Ovis aries: one gene and its partners. The protein of the gene in region 1 purifies or fractionates together with the protein of each later gene. This does not show direct contact. Links are inferred from orthologs where the notes say so. Each region holds a gene or a part of one and is shown in the gene's direction. Other genes may lie near its edges.

The links. Proteins that work in one complex are often made in the same cells at the same time.
Region 2: the proteins of POLR2E (region 1) and PPP1CA purify together in Homo sapiens (affinity purification with mass spectrometry; 5 studies listed by BioGRID and IntAct, counting the BioPlex papers as one, with this or other methods). This does not show direct contact. The link is inferred for Ovis aries from reciprocal best matches to the Homo sapiens genes POLR2E and PPP1CA.
Region 3: the proteins of POLR2E (region 1) and POLR3E purify together in Homo sapiens (affinity purification with mass spectrometry; 5 studies listed by BioGRID and IntAct, counting the BioPlex papers as one, with this or other methods). This does not show direct contact. The link is inferred for Ovis aries from reciprocal best matches to the Homo sapiens genes POLR2E and POLR3E.

What each region holds. Positions count from the first base shown.
Region 1 is NC_056058.1:41,256,326-41,263,382, reverse strand, and holds the start of POLR2E (DNA-directed RNA polymerases I, II, and III subunit RPABC1), read left to right. Parts: upstream 1-2,878; 5' UTR 2,879-2,943; coding exon 2,944-3,000; intron 3,001-4,442; coding exon 4,443-4,617; intron 4,618-5,426; coding exon 5,427-5,542; intron 5,543-5,888; coding exon 5,889-5,969; intron 5,970-6,293; coding exon 6,294-6,382; intron 6,383-6,494; coding exon 6,495-6,573; intron 6,574-6,679; coding exon 6,680-6,745; 3' UTR 6,746-7,057. UniProt on the Homo sapiens protein: DNA-dependent RNA polymerase catalyzes the transcription of DNA into RNA using the four ribonucleoside triphosphates as substrates.
Region 2 is NC_056074.1:41,698,840-41,705,797, reverse strand, and holds PPP1CA (serine/threonine-protein phosphatase PP1-alpha catalytic subunit), read left to right. Parts: upstream 1-3,143; 5' UTR 3,144-3,193; coding exon 3,194-3,248; intron 3,249-3,778; coding exon 3,779-3,910; intron 3,911-4,055; coding exon 4,056-4,286; intron 4,287-4,918; coding exon 4,919-5,023; intron 5,024-5,610; coding exon 5,611-5,834; intron 5,835-5,915; coding exon 5,916-6,050; intron 6,051-6,129; coding exon 6,130-6,240; 3' UTR 6,241-6,577; downstream 6,578-6,958. Other genes in the region: TBC1D10C (carabin), read right to left, coding at 27-141, 341-447, 534-641, 853-952, 1,668-1,972. UniProt on the Homo sapiens protein: Protein phosphatase that associates with over 200 regulatory proteins to form highly specific holoenzymes which dephosphorylate hundreds of biological targets.
Region 3 is NC_056077.1:20,515,732-20,522,874, forward strand, and holds the start of POLR3E (DNA-directed RNA polymerase III subunit RPC5), read left to right. Parts: upstream 1-3,328; 5' UTR 3,329-3,454; intron 3,455-7,143. UniProt on the Homo sapiens protein: DNA-dependent RNA polymerase catalyzes the transcription of DNA into RNA using the four ribonucleoside triphosphates as substrates.

The sequences.
Region 1 (7,057 bases):
CTCCATCTCCCTACCTCAGCCCCTGACAACCATGAATCTACTCTGCGTGGATTTGCCTGTCCTGGACTATTCACATCAGTGGAGTCATATACTAGGTGGCCTCTTGTGTGAGGCTTCTCTCTATGAGCAACATGTTTTCAAGGTTCATCCACATTATAGTGTGTGTCAGTGCTGCTTTTCATGGCTGAGTAATATCCTATGAAATGAATGGACTATATTGTGTTTACCCATGTATCCATTAATGAGTATTGTGCTATTGTACCATTTGGCTTTGTGATGCTGTACAAGACTTTTTGCATAGGCGTATGTTTTCATTTCTCCTGGGCATGTACCCAGGAGTGGAATTGCTGGCTCACACGGTCACTTTAGGTGTTAAAAGGAGCTGCCAGGCTTCCCCACAGCTGCTGCTGGATTTCACATCCCCAGCCAGGAGTGTGTGTGTATGGGGGGGTGGCCTGATTTCTGACCCCTGGGCTCTGCCAATTGGCAGAGCTGCATGGTGGCGGGTTCCCAGGAGAAAGTTGCAACTCCATGTCCCATTGCTGAGGTCACACAGTCACAGGCAGAATTCTGATTCATGGGCGATGGGATGGGGCCCACCTGCTCCTGTGAGTCCATTCTCCCCTCTTCCCTGCCCCAAGGAACAGCAAGGTCACCTAACATCCCCTGCCACCCACACCTGGGCCTTCCCCGGGTAAACTCCAGGCTGCCCTTGGGAACCTCCAGCAGTTCTGCCCCCTCTCCCACTCAGATTTGCCCATCACCTAGACACTCTTTCTCCTGTCTTAAAACTCACTCTAGGGCATCCCTGGTGGCTCAGTGGTTAAGAATCCACCCGCCAATGCAGGAGAAATGGTTCAATCCCTGGTCCAGGAAGATCTAACACGCTGGAGGGCAACTAAGCCTGTGCGTCACAACTACTGAGTCAGGCACCCTAAAGCCCGTGCTCTGCAACAAGAGAAGCCACCGAAATGAGAAGTTTGTGCACCACAACTAGAGAGTAGCCTCCACTCGCCACAACTAGAGAAAGCCTGTGCTCAGCAGCTAATACCCAATGCAGCCAAAAATAAAATAAATAAAACCCACTCTAGAACGCCTCTCTTTCTCCCCCTTCATCCACATCTCCAATTTCTTTCCTCCCATAAAGAAAGGCCTCCTCCCTGGATCTGCCCTCTGTGGTCACAAACAGTGGCCCCTGGGCCAGTCCCCTTCTCAGTCTGCAGACCTGCTTTGACAGCTACTCCACCCACCTCCTCCAGATACCTCCTTCACCTGACTCCAGGATACCAGGTTTCTACCCACCCTTTATTCTGTTTCAGGAACACTTGGGTATCGCCCTGCAATCTTCAGCCAAGTACATATGCAGTGGGTTCTGTTCTTGCCCCTGTTCTACAAAGGAGGAGGGGGACATTGAGGCACAGAGAGGTTAAGTAATGTGCCCAGGTCGCACAGCCAGCACTGGAGCCCAGGTAACCACATCTCTTTGCCTTCTGCCGTTTCCTCCCCTCCTCCCAGCTTCAGGGCTCAGGCCTGACTTCTGATGCGCTCTGTGACCTCATCAGCCTCTCAACTCCAGTCTGCACTGTGCGCCCACAACATCCACATCAGCCTCCACTCCAAGCTCATCCTGAGTTCCAGGCTTGTGCCCTACTGTCCCCTGGATGCTCCCCGTAGGGTCCCCCAGGAGTCCCAAGCTCACCATATCCAAGATCTGCTCCAGATCTGCCTTCTATGCCTCCCCACCGAGGTCTGTTCTTCCTCCTCTGCTTGTCTCTGTGTCTTTCCACATCCTGTCCACCTACAGATCCTATGAGCGCTGCCTTCTGGACACCCTAGACCTGCCCACAGCTCATCCTTCACTTGAGGCCTCATCTATCTCTGGCCGGGACGGTCCTCCCTAGCCCACTCCTTGGTCTCCCTGTTTCTGCCCTGTGGAGATGCTGAAAATGGCTGCAAGCACAAACTTCTCAAACCCAACCAGCAAGGGCTCCCAAGATCTGCCCCACCTGACCCTCTGACCCACAGGCCTCCTTGCTGCCAACATGCTAGGCCTCAGGGCCTTTGCACATGCTGTACCCTCTACCTGATACACTTTCCTCGACATCCCCAGGGCTTCTACCCTCTCACCCTTTGGATTTTTGTTGGAACCTTCCATGACCACATTTGAGACTTCTCTATTTTTTCTTCCACAGCACTGTCTCCTTCTAACACGCTGTATCATTTACTTATGTCCGCTGTTTCTGTCCTGTCTCTCCCTGGCATGTAAGGATGCTTGGTCTGTTTTGTTCCCCGTCTCTTTGGCTCCTCATTAAATACTGAATCATTGAATTAATATATTACTGAATGAGAAGTTACTGACACAAGTAAGCTGGGCTGAGCAGGCCTGAACAAACCTCCTGAACGAACTCGGAGGGGAAGGGCCGATGCAGAGGTTGTGCACTCTTGGGGTATCCAGGCAGGGGCTGGGCTGGGGCTCAGCTGCATTTTGTAAGCACCAGGAACTATACCAAGCTCCTCCCAAGTACGAGCATCTCTTTAGATCCTCTAAAATGGGGGACACTTTATTCTTTTCATTATACAAAACGGAAAACCGAGGCTCCGCTCACACTTCCTCAATCTCTCCAGATTCTAAACACTGTCCAGACTGACGTTGAGCAAAAACCACCACTCCCGAGAAGCCGTGCCGTCAAAGCATCGCGAGAACTTCCGAGGGGCGGGTGGGCGGTGCTGTTTGAAAGCTGCTCGCGCAACCAACCGCCGCTTTAGGAAGGCTAGGGCTGCCCTTGGCAGTGCCGCTCCCGAAGGTCGCTGTATTCAGGCGTTCGCCTGCGACAGCCCTGCACGGGTAGACGACGTGTTGGGGGCCTGATCAGGACTCGGAGTAGGCACTGTGGGCCCTGGTCGTGCTGGTCGCAGGCGCAGTGTGTGAGAGCGGCGGGAATCATGGACGATGAGGAGGAGACATACCGGCTGTGGAAGATCCGCAAGACCATCATGCAGGTGAGCCGCGCGGAGGCAGCCCTCCTTGGAGAACGCGGTGAGGGCGTGCCTGGCTGCGCCAGACGAACTGGGCACGTGGCGGCCGAGGCGTGAACGGCGGGTGCTAGGGCCCGTTGATGAGGACGAGCCTCTTCACCCGCGGCGGCGCGGCTGGAGCGGAGGAGTCGAGCCCCAGAGCCCCCAGAGAAGGGGGTCAGGATCTCGCTCGAGCTGGAGAGAGGGAAGGCGGGAGACGCTGGGCCGCCTTGTATTTGTGTTTCTGGAGGGTTGTGGTGTTACAGCCCCTGATCCTTGAAGTTCTTAATCAGTAAGAATTGATAACAGGCCAGACTAGAAGGTCAGGCAAGGCTTTGTTGGAGCTTATGCTGCAGCAGGAGGGAGCGAAAACAAGCAACAGGCGCCCTTCTTAGGTCGTCTTGAATGGGATAATGGGATGAGGGTGGGCGCGGGTCCAGGGGTCATGCCAGAGTGATGATTCGGGTGGTCTGCCTACCCTCTGGGTGGTGCTGTGTGCAGGGATCAGGCCTGGCACCCAGCTTTTGCTCCGGCACCTCAGAAGTGGAGGTTTTGACTTTCTGTTGTTGTCTATCATTTGCTCGAGCTGGGCAATTGCACGGTTATTTTTAGTCCCGCATGGTTTCTGGGTATTCTGTTGCTGGAGAAGATGTTTGTCCAAGTGCAGGCGCTGCCGCAAAGGGTCCCAGCTCCCAGCCTGTCTTATCAGCACCACCGTAAGTGCATAACGCAGAATCCCGGGTTCTTGACGGTGGAAGGAACCCTGGTGGGCTGGTCTGACTGCTGTCTGGTGGTTACTTAGATGCCTTGCCCACCAACTCAGTCTCAGTGTCACAGCAGTCACACCAGCTTTTTCTGTGTACCACATGCTTTAAGCCACCATGTGAGAGGGGTCCAGTGTGATGCCACAAAGACTTGGGGCCTTGATCAAGAGCACCCAGCCTCCTGGGAATTGTGCTGGAGCTAAGGCTGGGCTATGACCCAGCCTCTTCAACACTTGGCAGAGCTACTCAAGACAGGGCGGGAGCAGCTGCGCTTCTACCTGATGGTGTCGGGGCTGCGGGAGAGGAGACCCAGGTCTCTGAATGGAGACTCGGCGGGGGGTGGGGGATGTGGGCAGGGCTGGGTGGCAGCTCCAACCTTCCTTTGTCTGGGTCCTCACCTAGTCTGTGTGCTCACAGAGCCCTAGTTTCTGAGCAGGACCTTGAACTGCTGGGCCTCAGGCTTTTGCCTGGTTTCACAGCCAACACCCGCCCAGCCTGCTGTACCTGTCAGACCTACGCCCTGGGGCCTGACTCTGGACTCAACATCTCCGCTTGCATCCCAGGCCTTTCCCCAGTCTCCTCTGCGGTGGGTGAGGCCACCGGAGCTCTGGCTGCTGTCCTATCTCCACTGTGCGATCGATCACCTGCCCTTTCTCTCTGCAGCTGTGCCATGACCGTGGTTACCTGGTGACCCAGGACGAGCTGGACCAGACTCTGGAGGAGTTCAAGGCCCAGTTTGGGGACAAGCCCAGTGAAGGGCGGCCAAGGCGCACGGACCTCACGGTGCTGGTGGCCCACAACGACGACCCTACTGACCAGATGTTCGTCTTCTTCCCAGGTGAGGGCTGCTCAGGGCCAGCTCACAGCAGCCACCTGCTGTGCGCCCCAGAGTCATGCACCCACCCTTATCCTTCTGTCCCCTGCCCTCCTTGCTCTGGGAACCCCTTCTCCAGCTTCCCTCTTCTCGATCACCCATCCATTCTCTCTGGGCCTAAAGATCACATTTCCAAATACAGTTTCATTCTGAGATTCCAGGGCCAGGACCCCAACAGAGGGACTTTGAGGGCAGAGTGGGTTAGTGGAATGGGAAGTGAGAGCAGCTGGAAGGGGCGGACATACTGCACACAGACCCTGGGGCTGCCCTAGGTGCTGACCTGCTGGGCTCCTAGGGTCCGGCTGTTCTGTGGCAGGCCCTGCATGCTGCCAAGACCATGAGGACCCCCAGTGCTACGGCATGGAGATGGGTGGTCTGTGTCTGGCAGGACCATACTCTCTGGGTCAGCTCACCTCAGCTTACCTCTGAGAACCCCAGCCCTTGTCTCATGAACTCCAAGACTAAACCAAATCCAGGGCTTCCCAAACCTCAGAGCCACTGAGCCCTGGCCAAGCCCAGACTCCCAGACCCCACTTCCAGAAGAGGTCCCTGAGGTCCAGGGCACCCAGGGCACTTGTCAGCTCCCATGTGACCTGGAGGCAGCCAGCTCCCCCATTCTGGGAACCAGCTGCCCAGTTCTTGCTTTGCACACGGGGAGGCTGAGGCCCAAGAGTGGGAGTGGCACCGCAGTGCCTTGGCAGAGCCAGGCTAGAACCTGGGTGCCCGATGGGAAGGGGCCCTGCAGCACTGATCAGCCTGTGCTCTGCCTGCAGAGGAGCCCAAGGTGGGCATCAAGACCATCAAGGTGTACTGTCAGCGCATGCAGGAGGAGAACATCACACGTGCCCTCATTGTGGTGCAGCAGGGCATGACGCCCTCTGCCAAGCAGGTAAGCCTGCCCCGCCAGGGTGGGATGGAGCCTGGCCAGCACCTCTGTCCCCAGGCCCGGGGACCGGCTGCCACACTAGCTCCCAGCCACCCTGGGAGCATCCTGACAGGTACTTACCTTTCTTGATGTGAGATGAAGGCCTTATTACTGCTGAGAGCCTGGGCGGAGTTGGGTGGGGTTTCCCAATTTATGATGCGCGATGTCTTTCTGAGCCACAAAGGTAAACCCTGCTCCACTTCCAGGGTGCTAGCTGCCCACGAGGAGGAGCTGGGTTGGGGCAGGCCTCGGGGCCACAGAGGGGCGGGCGGCTGCCCCTGCTGCACTTGAGGGTTGACGTCTCTTCCAGTCCCTGGTTGACATGGCACCCAAGTACATCTTGGAGCAGTTTCTGCAGCAGGAGCTGCTTATCAACATCACAGAGCACGAGGTAGGGGTGCGGGGGCTCGGGTGGGATGAGACTGGAGACCCAGCCCCCAGCCCCTCACCTTTTTAGGAACAGCAGACGTCCGGGGGCCCCCTAGTGTGGAAAGAAGGTAGGGCGATCCAGCCTTCAGTCAGGAGTTGGGGGGCGGGGTGCAGTTTCTATCTTCCCTGCAGCCCTGGCTCCCAGGATTGTGCCCTGTGGCCCATCTGCAGGGTGGGGGTGTAGGCTCCAGACACGCACCCCCTCCCTCCCAGTGTGGAGTTAGGACTGGCTCAGACGCTTGGAGCCTGAGCTGTACCCCTCCCCTGGGGGCTCCGGGGTCTGTAGTCCCATGGAGCCCGGGTTCTCTTCTCACAGCTGGTCCCGGAGCATGTGGTCATGACCAAGGAAGAGGTAACGGAGCTGCTGGCCCGGTAGTATCCTTTCTGGCCCCTGACTGGGCCCAGCTCCTCTCCCCACCCTGCCTTTCACCCCAATCCCAGACCCCCAGTCAGTCCAGTGAGGCCTTTTCCCTGACCTGCTACCCAGTAAACTCCGAGAGAACCAGCTGCCCAGGATCCAGGCAGGAGACCCTGTGGCGCGCTACTTTGGGATAAAGCGCGGACAGGTAAGAAGCCCTCCCAGGGTGGAACTAGAGCCAGGGCTTCTGGGCAGGGCGGAGGGAACCCAGGCTGCTGCTCCTGCACCACTCCAGCTCTGCTTCCTGCCTCTAGGTGGTGAAGATCATCCGGCCGAGCGAGACTGCGGGCAGGTATATCACCTACCGGCTGGTACAGTAGCTGCCTGTGGACAGACAGCTGGCATCGAGGGCCCAGGCAGTGGTACTCATCCCACTCTTGTGAGCGCACCGCACCACTTCCCTCTCTGCAGGCAGCCCCAGTTCCGGCCTGGTTGTACCCAGCTTCTGTGACGAACAGTCACAGATCACACGACTAACTGCCCGTTTCTCTGCCAGCATGTCCCCTGGGGGACAGAGAGACTGTTGTGACCACCCCCTCTCCCCACCCCACCCCCGCTGCTCCCGGCCAGGAGTGTGGGAGCTGGTTGCCTTGGGAACCTTGCCTCTGCTCCCCCTGGATCCTAGGGTGCTT
Region 2 (6,958 bases), on another chromosome or scaffold:
CCTGCAGCAGGGCTGTGGGCACTCACCTCCGGGGGCAGGTGCATGAGCAGCACGGCGGCCACAGGGCCCTGGGCCTGGCAGTAGCCCTGCTCCGGCCGGTACAGGGTGTAGGCCTTCAGGACCTGCAGGAGGCCCTGCTGCCTGTGCCAGAAGACCCCATCAGGGCCAGTCCTCCGGGCATCCCTCCCGCACCCTCTGGCAAGCCCTGCCCAGGCCTTGGCCCCTCAGGGGCCTTGCTGGGTCCTCTGAGATGCAAAGACATAAACCCAGGGTCGGGGACTCGGCCAAAGCACCTGGGGGTTTGGGGGTTAGGGGTCCCTGGGCATCCCCACCCTCGTACCCGTGACCCTGGGGCGACACAAACATCTCATGCAGAGGGAACTGGCGGTGCAGGTCCCTGCCGATGGTTTCCATCCACTGTGGGTCTCCCGGGGCCTCAGCCAGTTTCTGCATGTGGGCAAGAAGGTGGAGGTGAAGGCCCAGAGGGGTGAAGGGCTAGGGGAGGGGGCTGGGACCCCTGAGGTTCCCCTCACCTGGTAAGTGCCGGGGCTGTTCTTCTGACACACGTGAGCCCCGCACAGAAGGGGCCAGCACCGGGCCCGCAGGGCCGAGGGGATGCCTTTCCGGCACTGCATCTTCACCTGCGGGTGAGGCCAGGGCACCCTGTTAGGCCAGTTGTGCCAGATACCCCTGCCGCTCTCAGCTGGCCTCAGGCACAATCTGCCATCGGGCAAGAGTCTCGGCGAGGAGCAGGGAGTGAAGCCAGGAGGTGCTGGGACACAGGAGGCTGAATTTTGCCAGGTAAAGGGGGGGCAAGCCAAGGGGGCCCGTGTGGGGCCACTCTCCCCGCACCTTCTTGTACCGCCGAGACATGGTTTTCTCCCAGTGTGAAGTCATCTCCACCCACTTCATCTCCCGCTGGCGGATGAGGTCTGCAGGAGGGTGACCCGGCCTGGGGGCACACGGCACAAATGTCCAGACATAGGATGGCCACATCCTCGGCCTTTCCCACCACCTGGGTGAGCCCAACCCTTGGCCCTGGAGATCTCTGGGAATCTCTGGGGTGGGGAGTGACCTGTCACCCAGGAGTTGCCAGTGGTTGTCATGGGGACAGGAAAGGATGTGGCTCTGATGTGGGCGGAAGCAGGAGATACTGAAGAGGGTGTGTAGGTGTGTGTTGGGGGAGGGGCTGGTAGACTGTCCCCCGGGACGGGGACACAGACAACTCTTCGGGGAAGTTGAGTAGACAGAGCCCAAGAGCTAGAAACCAGGAGTCTTCTCTGAGCCTGATTCTGCCTCTGATGGCGGTATGACCTCCCTATCTATCTCGGATCTCGTCTTCCTGTCAGCACCTGGGGAAGGGGGGGACTGGTAGGGGAAGAAGTGTGGGTTCTATGATCTTGGGATTCCTGGGCCAGATTGAACGGAGAAGCAGGTTCAGCCCCTCTGGGAACCCTCAGAGACTGGGAGGAAGAGACACACAGGTACTCACTCCCCATAGCCCTGCTAATCTTAAGATTCCATCTAGAACCTGAGAACAGGTGATGCTAGCTGAGTCCCCAGACCCTTCCAGGACCTTCGAGGTTGGGCCTCACTCTAGAATTCAGCTCTCAGCCTCCAGCATTAGGCCCAGCACCCCGTACCCCCCTCATCCCTTCTCCACTTACCCTGGCTCTGCTGCGCTGCCCCCAATGAAGCCGTAGCGGTCAGCCTGGCGATACGGGCCGGGCCCGCTCAGCTCTGAGTCGGACCCCAAGGAGCTGGAGTCATCCTGCAGCTCACTGGGCTGCGCCAGGTCCTCGCCCAGGGCCTGGGCCATGGCGCCACCGACCCCCCGTGCGGCAGGCTGCAAGATGTGGGCACAGCCAGTGTGAGCAGGGGCTCCCGGCCAGCCGGGGCCGGGGCGCCTCTGCAGCCAGGCCTCAGCCCCAGGACCTGCCCGCCTGGTCAAAGAGGACAGGTTGCAGGGCATCGCACCATACCCCTCTGGTACCCTCTCCTCTTGTGGGGTGGGGGTGGGGCACAGGCCCAGAGGGGCAGAAAGGCCAGGCCCCCTACCGGAGACCCAGGCCCAGCCCCTGTCCCAAGGGGCCCAGCTTACCTCCCTGCTGCACCTCACCTCCTCCTCTCACTTCCTCCTCAGCCACAGCTTCAGCAACCCGCTGAGGGCCCCTCCCAAGTGCGTGGTGGGGGGGGTTACCCCTTCCTCTCCAGGGCTCTTCCGGCCTGCCCCAGTAGCCCTGGGCCATGGGCTCCTCCCACCACCCCGGTGGGCTAGGTGGGTGCAGGCCTGGGTTCTTGTGCTGGGTGTGATGCAGCCAGGGCCTGCCAGAGGTAGAGAGGCCACGCTGCCTCCAGATGTGAGGTCACAGGCAAATAAAACACTCAATTCAGGGTTCCAGTGAGTATTACACTTTATTTAACGTGACTTCTTTTGTTAACGCTTTCGACAAGTCAAACAGTAAGTCATTACTGCGCTACTCAAAACACAACGACGAGACATTAAAAAATAGTAGTAATGGTGTAGCATGCGCCACGGGCAGGGGGACCAAAATGAGCTCGGCGTTCAGCGACAGGTGTCTGGGTATGGTCAGCCGCCCGCAGGCCACAGGGACCCTAGAGGTGAGAGCTCCTCCGTCAGTCTGAAGCCAACCCTTGCTATCTTTGAACCTGTTTCCTTTCCTGCACTTCGTGGATTTAATCTGCACTCTCTGGGGAGACCCAATGAGATATCAATGAGGTCACACCACCTTCTAGCCCGGGACAGAAATGGGAAGGACTATTGGGCCCTTGAAAGAGAAAAACAACTCCACACTACTTCCGGCCGCACATCCTCGGTGCAAGGGTGGGTAACTCCTCAAGGGCGGAACTAGAGTCGACCTCGCCCCGTGAAGCCCCGCCCCCAGTGTAGGCTCCGCCCCCGCAACCAGGTCAGCCCGAGCCCCGCCTCCCGAGCCGCCGCGGGCCCCGGGCCTGGCGTCCAGTGGAGGCGCTAGAGCGCAGGGGCGGCGGGCGACCGGGCGGGCCGGGGCGGGGCCGGGTGCGGCGGGGCGGGGCTGCCGGCAGAGGAGGCGGGGCGGCGGGCCGGGGCGGGCCCGGGCGGGCGGAAGGAGCACCAGGCCGGAAGGAGGCCGCGGGAGGGCGGGAGGCAGGATAGGGCCCGGAGGTGCTGGGCCAGAGCGGCGGCGCCGCCATGTCCGACAGCGAGAAGCTCAACCTGGACTCTATAATCGGACGCCTGCTGGAAGGTTGGCCGGGGAGGCGAGGGAGGTGGGCGCCCGCCGCGCCCTGGTCCCCTGCCCGGCCCGGAAGTGGCGCGCGGGTGGACCTGCCCCTCCCAGGGCCAGCTTTGACTGGGCGGGGACGGGCCGCGAGGTCCCGTGGCCACATCGTGCCCCCACCCCACCCCAGTCGTGGCGCGCTGGGAGGTCTGGGGTTGCTCCCCTTGCCAGAGCAGAACCGGGGTTGGCGGTGGCGGGGGTGGGCGCGCAAGGATTGGCCTGGGCTCTTGGCTGAGGGAGAAACCTGAGAAGCCTAGTCCCCCAGGAAGGGGTCCTGTGCTGAGGTTTTGGATGGCCTCTGCGCACAGCAGTCCCCTCGCGAGCGCCTTGAGGGCAGTTGGGGGTCCCAGGAGGCTCAGCAGCAACAGCTGCCCCTGGGCAAGGCGGGGCCGGGAGGCCCAGGAGCCCCTACCCAGAAGTGCCTTTGGGGCCACCAGTGACATTCACCCTCTTCTTGCCTGAGGAACCAGGGTCCTGACGCCTCTTTCCGCCCCCAGTGCAGGGCTCCAGGCCTGGAAAGAATGTACAGCTGACGGAGAACGAGATCCGTGGTCTGTGCCTCAAATCCCGGGAGATTTTCCTGAGCCAGCCCATTCTTCTGGAGCTGGAGGCACCCCTCAAGATCTGCGGTGAGCCCCCAGCCCAGGTCCCCGTGGCCTCCTGAAAGCGGCCTTGCCCCCCACCCCTCCCAAGTTTCTCCTCCCTTGGGCCCAACCCTGACCCTGGGTTCACGTTTAGGCTGCCCTAGTGCTGACCTGGTTCCCTGGGTCACAGGTGACATTCACGGCCAGTACTATGACCTTCTGCGGCTGTTTGAGTACGGCGGCTTCCCTCCAGAAAGTAACTACCTGTTCCTGGGGGACTACGTGGACAGGGGCAAGCAGTCTTTGGAGACCATCTGCCTGCTGCTGGCCTATAAGATCAAGTACCCGGAGAACTTCTTCCTGCTCCGTGGGAACCACGAGTGTGCCAGTATCAACCGCATCTACGGCTTCTATGATGAGTGTGAGTGGGCAGAGCATCTGGGCTGCCCTGGTCCTAAAGGGCTCTCCTTGCCATTCAGTGCGACCCTCGTGTTGACCTGGTGGCTGGGGTGTCAGCGTCTGACAAACACCTGCTAAGCTGAGTGCCGTGAAGGTAGCACCAGCCCATGCCACCCTCCCCGACCCTCCTAGAGCAGATCCTGGCACTCAGGAGGGACCTAGCCAGTGGCTGCTGGCTGAAGGGCTGCCAGGATTCTAAGGCAGGGCCTCACCTGCTGACACTCCCCTCCAGCGCATCCGATACTTAAGCACTTAGGATGCCTGTTGGGACTGGACTCTGTTAGACAGAAGCCAAGATGAACCAGACCCTGTCTCGACCTGGCCCTGCTCTTGTGCTGGGGGTGGATGCCAACCTTGAGGTCGTGCCAGAAGTGGAACTCTGGGGTTCCCGTGGACTTGGCTGCTTTAGAATTCTGTCTGGGAGGCAGTGGGGTAGTAGGGGTAGGGGGCGGGGGTTCGGTTTCCTTTTTTGCCTTCCATTCTCTCCTCCTAGCTGTGTCTGAACAACACACAATGTGTCCTGGAAGGCCTGGAGACCTGGGCTGAGGGTGGAGCAGAGGCCCTCTGGTGAGCTGTCTCCTTCCCCCTGGGCAGGCAAGAGACGCTACAACATCAAACTGTGGAAGACCTTCACTGATTGCTTCAACTGCCTGCCCATCGCTGCCATCGTGGACGAGAAGATCTTCTGTTGCCATGGAGGTGAGCACAGCTCTGGGCATGTGAATTCTTGAGCAGGATGAGCCTCCCAGGGTGAGCACCCCTGGGGACCTTGGGACAGAAGCGTCGGCTGGAAGATGTGTTCCCAGTCGCCAGGAACAGCTCTCCCTGGAGTCCTGGTATGGGTAGTACTTCTTCCATGACGTGCCCCCGCACTGCAGCATTAGGCTGCACCCACTGTTGTGTCATGGCCTCGCCTTCTTGCATGGAGTTTGCTTGTCCCCTTTCTCCAGGGCTTCCCTAGTGGCTCAGATGGTAAAGAATCTGCCTGCAATGCGGGAGACCCAGGTTTGATCCCTGGGTTGGGACGATCCCCTGAAGAAAGGAATGGCTACTCGCTCCAGCTTTCTTGCCTGGACAGTCCATGGGGTTGCAAAGAGTCGGACACGACTGAGCGAAAACACTTTCTCCAGGGAGCTCTGTGCTCCTTGAAGGGACAGGGACTTGGAAGAGGCAGAAGGTGATGAGTTCTGCCTTTGTAGGCTCCCAGGAATCCTGGAGAGGTGGGGGGCAGAGGCTGATTGGCAAAGGCTGCCTGGAGGAGGTGACCTGCCCCCTGTGCCCTCCAGGCCTGTCCCCAGACCTACAGTCCATGGAGCAGATCCGGCGCATCATGCGGCCCACAGATGTGCCTGACCAGGGCCTGCTCTGTGACCTGCTGTGGTCTGACCCTGACAAGGACGTGCAGGGCTGGGGCGAGAATGACCGCGGCGTCTCCTTTACCTTTGGAGCTGAGGTGGTGGCCAAGTTCCTGCACAAGCATGACCTGGACCTCATCTGCCGGGCACACCAGGTGGGCTGGCAGCCCCCATCTGGGTTAGAGCAGGGCTGGCAGCCAGCTCCTGCTGAACTAACCGCCTCCACCCTCGTCCAGGTAGTAGAAGACGGCTACGAGTTCTTTGCCAAGCGGCAGCTGGTGACACTCTTCTCAGCCCCCAACTACTGCGGCGAGTTTGACAATGCAGGTGCCATGATGAGCGTGGACGAGACGCTCATGTGCTCCTTCCAGGTGGGGGTCGGGCCGGGGGCAGGCAGGCCCAGGGACTTACGGCTTGACCCCTTAAGCCTGACCAGTTTTTCTCTTCTAGATCCTCAAGCCCGCCGACAAGAACAAGGGGAAATATGGGCAGTTCAGTGGCCTGAACCCTGGAGGCCGGCCCATCACCCCACCCCGCAACTCCGCCAAAGCCAAGAAATAGCCTCCGTGTGCCCGCCCTCTGCCCCAGATGGTGGATTGTACAGAAATCATGTGGCTACAGGGGGCTCGTGCTGGCCCCCCAGGCCCACCCATCACGGGGAACATGGAGGCTTGGTGTATTTTTCTCTTTTTTTTTTATGAATCAATAGCAGCATCCAGTCCCCCAGGGGTCTTCCCGCTTGTACCTACAGCGGCTGCAGGCAGGATCCTGGGGCTAAGGCTGCAGCTCAGGGCAAAGCAGGGCCAGATTGGGGATCTCCAGCCTTGCTTGGCCTCAGGGCTGGCAGCCGGATCCTGGGGCAACCCATCTGGTCTCTTGAATAAAGGTCAAAGCTGGATTCTTGCCATAGCCTGTCTCCCTTGTCCCAAACACTGGGCCTGGCAACTCTTCCGCCCAGAGCCACTTGGGAGGCTTGCTGGGCTTCGGGCCCCAGCCAGGAAAACCCCAGCCACGTGCCCAGGTCCGCAGGGGCTCTTGGAATTTCCAAGCCAGGGCCAGAGAGTTCAGGGAAAGCAAGCAGTGTGTGCCAGTCACAGGGGATCCCAGTGGTGTGCTCAGGATTTGAGGGAGGGACAGGTCATGATTGGCAGAAGGTGGATCAGCAGGGGCAGAAGCCCTACAATGATTTCTTTGTTTCTTAGGGAGGTGGGCTTAGAGAAGGCAGTCCTCCAGTTCTGGCCACAGAACTGGATTAAGAGGTGAGGGAACTCCCTGCAGA
Region 3 (7,143 bases), on another chromosome or scaffold:
TAGAGACATTTCATAGGACAAGAGAATGGTTACATAATCATTGTCAGATTCGGGAGGACAGGGCAGGGATGTTTCATTAAAGTTCACTACTGTCTTGACTGGCAAACAGTCAACTGGTGGATGGGTAGAAAACTAGTTTCCCAGTACAAATTTTAATGCTAGTAAATTTCAGAAGAAAAATGGTTAAGTATTTTATGGGGAATGTTAATTTCTTTCCAGAAGGAGGCTCATGCAGTACGGTTTGGTCTCAGACCGGGTTTAGGATGAATTTCCTTTTGCAGGGGCAAGCGAGTAAAGACTGCAGGGGATCCAGGACTAAGCCCCCATGTCCATCCCCGCTGCCCCCAGCCGAAGCGGCTATGATCTAGAGACAGACACCCTTTACTTGACAGTTTCTAGACTGGGGGTGGGGGCCAGAGGCAATGTTTCATCTGTGGTGCTTGCCCTCTGTCCCAGCCACCAGCCCCATTAGCCAAGGGACAGAGCAGATACGCCAAAGGACAGTGGGGGTTTAGCCCTTTCCTCTCTCCCCTTACATAAAGTTGCTGGGACCCAGTGGGTCCTGAGTTCCGGTGCAGCATTCTGCTTCTCCTGCTTATTAGTTTCACATCTGACAGTCACAAGACAGCTGTGTGATGGCACCGGAGGTCTGCAAGAAACGCCCAAAGGAAGCCCTGGGCTCTGCCTTCCTGGATCAGCTGGCATTCCTGTTGGGCATCTTGTTTAGTAAATATTGGTAGGGACAGACATGAATTGCTGCAGAGTGTTCTGGCAGAAATATCTTTACCTCTGTTTGAGCCCTTTCCATACTAGGGGGAGGGGGGCTCATTTGTTAAAGTTAACAGATAACCCTAGCTTTAGCAGAAAAGAGGAATTTACTACAATGATAAAGGGATGTCTGCAAGAATGTAAATGCCACTGGGCCCTGGAAAAGTCTTAAGCTGGGAGCCGCAAAACCATCAGAATCTCTGTGACTCTCTACTCTTCCTCTCATTTTATCATTATTTTTCCATTCACTGGCTTTCTCTTCTTCTCCAGTCCATCTCACAGAATCTGGCCACCCCAACTCCTAGTTCAGTCAGTCGGTCTCAGAGACTGACCCCAGCACTTAGTACAGTCAAAATAACAAATCAGGAACTCACCATGTCTCATGATTGGTCTGACCTCTGTCCTGTGTTTACCATAGAGCCCACTGGCCACGTTGGGGGGAAGGTGACCGCCAGAGACCCACTCTCTGGGCTGGTCAGGCAATTACTAGAAAAGTAGAATTAGGCAGCTGCTGCTACGAATCCAGCAATTATTCTTTATCATAGGGGTATTTCCTTTTGGAAAATCCAGCACATAACTCACAAACAAATACAGTTCCTCATGGTACTGAAACACCATGAGCAGGTCAATGTTTCTATTGATTGCAAGGACTATTCCTCACTTGGTTTTGATCCTCTCACAATGCGTGGCCGAGATAGATGGCTTCTTCTGTATTTATTAAAGTTTGCTTTAAAAGTAACAAACTCTCCCAGTACAATGAAAATCTTTGTATGTCAACACTTATTTTAAAGGTAGATGGAGAAAGAAACAGGCATTAAGGAGGAATTGAAGAGACAGAGGAATATGGAATGCCCAAATATCAGGGTGTGTGCCAACTGGATATTAACCAGAAACTTGAATATAACGACTTAATATAAACCACTTAAATGTCCATCTTCATAGCATGGAATAAATTAGATCCATATATATCACAATAAATAAAAAGTGTAATATTGGAGTAGAAAAGCAAGTTGCAGAATAATATTGGTACAATGTAGTAAGGATTATGTAAATAAAAAGCAAGATCACACTATATATTTTTAATGGATTTTTAAAATGATCACATTCACACTTTTAATGAAAAGCATATACATAAGAACTGGAAGTAAAATGCCACGATATTATGTAGTGGGAATATGGATGATTTTTTTTTGCATTTTTTCTATATTTTAAAATATCTACATATATATCAATATGGATAGATACTAGAAAAAAATAGGTGAAAAAAGTCAGTTGCAATAAATACTCAGTTCAGTTCAGTTCAGTTCAGTCGCTCAGTCGTGTCCGATTCTTTGCGACCCCATGAATCGCAGCACGCCAGGCCTCCCTGTCCATCACCATCTCCCAGAGTTCACTCAGATCACGTCCATCGAGTCAGTGATGCCATCCAGCCATCTCATCCTCGTCCCCCCTTCTCCTCCTGCCCCCAATCCCTCCCAGCATCAGAGTCTTTTCCAATGAGTCAACTCTTCGCATGAGGTGGCGGAAGTACTGGAGTTTCAGCCTCAGCATCATTCCCTCCAAAGAAAGCCCAGGGCTGATCTCCTCCCGAATGGACTGGTTGGATCTCCTTGCAGTCCAAGGGACTCTCAAGAGTCTTCTCCAACACCACAGTTCAAAAGCAATAAATACTACTAGTATGATTAATATTTATATTTATGTAAAATCCATAACAATAAAAACAAACTACCTATTTCTATGGATATATCTATCCACGTGAATATATCCATATATATTCACATAAATTCACAATAGAAGGTCCAGAAGGAAACGCAGTGTACTAAGCTGTATAACGGTTACCTCTGAGGAAGGGACTTAGAGACCGAAGGTAAAAGAACATTAGTACCTTATCTACAAAGTTTTCATATTTTGCAATAATTCACATATTATCTGTGTAACTAAAAATTAAAACACATAATTTTAGAGAAAACTGCCTACACCAGTCCACGGGTTTGGCTTTCGGAAGCCCTGGTGCGGGTTACTGCCGAAATCCATCGTTTATTCCCGTGTGGGTTAACCTGCTTAACGTGTTAAACGTCCTACTCAGAAAACAGATTCTTAAACTGTTCTAAGATCTGTTCGGAAGAAGTGTGGGTCTAATTACTGGAGAAAATATTTTATTTTTAGTAGCCAATACTTTCTAAAATAGTTCTATAGGGATGAAGTAAAACATATAGCAAACAATCAGAAATTAAGTGTACTTGCATGTAAATGCATTAAATAGCTTTCTGGAAGGCCCCACTCACAACTGGGTAGCGTGGCCGAGCGGTCTAAGGCGCTGGATTAAGGCTCCAGTCTCTTCGGGGGCGTGGGTTCGAATCCCACCGCTGCCAGAGTGAGCTTTTTGCCCCTTGCTACCTCCTCACCAGCTGTTTTGCTACTGCGTCAGCGCCCCCTGCTGCCAGGCCAGGGCTGGCCGCCCGTATGAATGGAGCGGCGGAGGGGGCGGGTCCGCGCGCGCCGGGGCGGGGCATTGTGGGTAAAAGGAAGCGCTAGGGCCCGCCCCTCTCGCTCCCCCCACGTGTCCGCCCGAGTTTCTCCACCGGCAACATGGCCGCTGCCTGAGAGGAGAGTCTGGCCACTGCCGCTTCTGCAGCCCGCGGGTACCTGGGCCGTTGCTGCGCCCGCGTGCGGGCCCCGCGGAGAGGTGAGTGCCGTCTTGGCAGTACCCACCCGTGCTGGAGCCGGGCCGTACTCACGAGGTGGGCTTGGGCGGGGCTGCTGAGTAGGCCGGGAGGCCCGCGCCGCGCGGTGCCCAGGGGCCGGGGGCCTCTTAGGACTCCCGCGGGAAGGACGGGCAGCCTGCCCCAGGAGACCCGGGCCGGCCACAGGCTCCGACCTCGCCTCGCCGTGGCAGTCGGTGACGCCAAGGCCGAGGCTACCGGCGGTGACTCAGGGTCCCGCCGCTTTGCCCCACCCGGCTCAGGCCGGCCTCCTGTGGGAGCACCTGTCCGAAGGCAGCCGGTGTCCTGCCGGCGTGGCGGCTCGTGGCAGTGGCTGTGTGGTGGGCGTGAGAAGGGGGCCTGACCACCCGCGAGGGAGGCGAAACCCATTGGACAGTGTGGCGCGGGGCAGGCGGCCCGCCCCGATGGGCAGGGGGAGGGTGTCCGGGGCCCCCTCCTCGCCGCCGAACCGGATCAGCTCGAGTCCGGCTAGGCCTGGAATTCTCCATTCATTTATTCCAGCCACCCTTCAGTGCTAATTGGGAGCCAGCGACGTGCGGCCGATGGGGCCGGCCCTGAAGATTTGATCAGACGAGGTGTCAGTAAGCACGTCAAGTAAACCAGTAAATAAAAAAAGTCATTTTGTTGTGTTAGCTTTAGAATCATTGGAGGGCAGAAAAAGGAGAGCTTAAAGCAGTTGTCACGGTTTTCTTCATCTGTGAATTGGGGGTAAGAGGATTCCCCCGCCTCCTAGGGCTGTGATGAGAGCTAAATATAGGGTAAGACGGGAGAAGCGCCAGGTTGTAGTGTTTGTTTCGTGGCTCTGTCTCCTGCCCTTTTATATTGGAAGAAAACATTGTGCCGAGTAAGTAACAAACCTTCCCAGGGATTACGTTTCTACTTTACTTAATCTTCACAGTTTTCTGAGGTTGGTACTTTTGTTAATACCCATTTTTGGGGTGAAAATAGTGAAGATCAAACGATGCTAGACGGGGTAGAGGTACCAGAGGGCAGACCTGGGATTTGAACCTGTGCAGTTTCACTCTAGAGTCTAGGCTTTTACCCACTACACCATCCTGCCTTCCACTAAGGGAGCTCGCAGCATAGTCGTTAAGAATGAGAATAAGGCTATTTGACATCAGCTAGACCCAGGTTTGTGGCTTAGCTCTGCCTTTCTCTGGCACTGTGACCTTGGGTAAGTTACTCTCTGAACTTGAGTTTCCTCTTCTGTTAATTGGGGATGGTATCAATACATCCTTACTTAGAGAGCTATTGGACAGATTACATGAGGATGAATATATTAAGTCCTTAGAGAAGGGAGGGTCTTATGAGTTAAGAATTAATTCTTTTTGCCTCTAGGCCACCTCTCTCCTTGCATTGAGGTGGAAACTGAAGTGACTCAAAAAGGGGAGATGCCTTGTCGAAGGGGCACACAGCCAATAAGAATCCAGACTTTGAGACTGTTTACCCTGGGCCCCTTACCCCTTAATTCAGTTTTGTGTTGTCTCTCTCCTTCCAGTAGCTGGAGACTGTTTTTCCGTTGGCCTCTGTTTTTCTGATTGGCCTACAGGTTAGACTCCTGGGTGACCCAGCTGTGGCCTTCAGGCATCTTCTCTGCTCTGGACCCTCCCTTAGATTTACCTTGTCCCCTTTCCTTTGTTGAACAGTCCCCTGGTGGGGATGTTTTCTGTGCCCAGTGCTTGGAGCCGCTGCCATAGAGTATCTTTGTGGTCACAGGAAACCCTCTTGAGGTCAAGGTGGTCACTGCTGCCTTGAGGTGGTGGCCTGGAAGTGCAGACCACACCCCTGTCCTCAAGTGTCCAGGAGGCCCGAACTGTAAGGCCACCAGTCTCTGGATGGGGCTGAATTAGGATCACTGGGTAAAGGGTCTGTCACTGCCTGATCTCATGCACTGATTTACTCAGTCTTTGTACTATATTAAGTGTTTACTTCACTGTTCTAGATATTGGGAGAACAGCATGAATTTTTAAAAAGATAATAATGCCCGTATCAACTCCACAAAGTAAATTAAATCATCTCTGTTTTATGGTTGAAGCACAGAGGGTGCTCATGGAGCATACATTCTAGTGCAGAAGACAGACAACACATAAGCAAATAGACCAACTAGGTAATTCCAAGTTATAATAAGAACCATGAAAGAAATAAAACAGGGATTTGGTAGTGACTGGAACGGGTGAGGGGTGGGGGCCTTTAAGGTGACTGGTCAGGGAAACTTGTCTGTTCCTGGAGGAAGTGGGATGGGTGATATCTAGTGAAAAGGAGCCAGCCTTTTTTGAAAAGACCTGAGGAAAATAGATGATGTGCAAAGTTCCTGAGACTGGCTGGGGCTTAGCTTGTTGGAGGCCCAGCAAGATCATATGGGACCTTGGGGCCATGGAAAGGAATTTGGATTTTATCCTATGTGACAGTTGAAGAGTTTTGAATGGGGGAATGATAACTTTCCTTCCAAGGAGCAAGGGTCTTTGAATTTCATGGCTGCAGTCACCATTTGTGGTGATTTTGGAGCCCAAGAAAAGAAAATCTCACTGCTTCCACTTTTTCACCTTGTATTTGCCAGGAAGTGTTGGGACAAGATGCCGTGATCTGTTTTTGAATATTGAGTTTTAAGCCAACTTTTTCGCTCTTTCACCCTCATAAAGAAAGAAGGTCGTTAGTTCCTTTTCACTTTCTGCCATTAGAGTGGTATCATCTGCATATCTGAAGCTGAACTATTTCTGCCTGCAGTCTTGATTCCAACTTGTGATTCATCCAGCCTGGCATTTTGTATGATGTACTCTGCATAGAAGTTAAATAAACAGAGTGACAATATACAGCCTTGACGTACTCCTTTCCCAGTTTTGAACGAGTCAGTTGTTCCTTTTGAGGTTCTAACTGTTGCATCTTGTTCTGCATACAGGCTTTTCAGGAGACAGGTAAGGTGGTCTGGTATTTCCGTCACTAAGAATTTTCCACAGTTTGTTGCGATCCACACAATCAAAGGCTTTAACATAGTTAATAAACCAGTAGTAGATGTTTTTCTGGAATTCCCTTGCTTTCTCTATTATCCAATGAATGTTGGCAATTTGACCTCTCATTGCTGTCCTGGGGGTACCACAAGGGACACACTAGATGAAAATCTCTGCCTTCGACTGGTTTACCACTGAGTGGCAGTAGGGGTGGATGGTAAACACGAAGCTGTAAACTGTCGCGTCGTGATACGTGCTGTGAAGAAGGAACTGGCTGGGGGGGTATTGTGGTTTTAACTGGGTGGGTAGGGAAAGCCTCGGCCATGAGGCAGAGTCTAAGCAAAAACTTGAAAGAGGTGAAGGAGGGCACTGTGGGGTTATGGGGGCCAGGGGAGCAGTGACAGAGACCCAGAGGGGGGTTGGGGAAGAGGGGGAGGCCTGTGGAAGATGAGGTCTGAAAGGAAGAGGGTCAGGGAGGGGTTGTTTAGGGCCTCGCACGGGATGGAAACAGCGTTGGCTTTTATTTCTGGCGATATGGGGAGACTGTTAAGGGGGAGGAGTGATGTGATCGCTAGCTGTGGGTTCAAGGTGGAAGGAGGGAGGCCAGTTAGGAGGCTGCTGCTCTAAGGTGGGCAGGAGCTGGAGGTGGCAGCGGGAGTGCCCAGATGCTTGGCATACTGTGAAGGTGGAGCTTACAGGATTTGCTG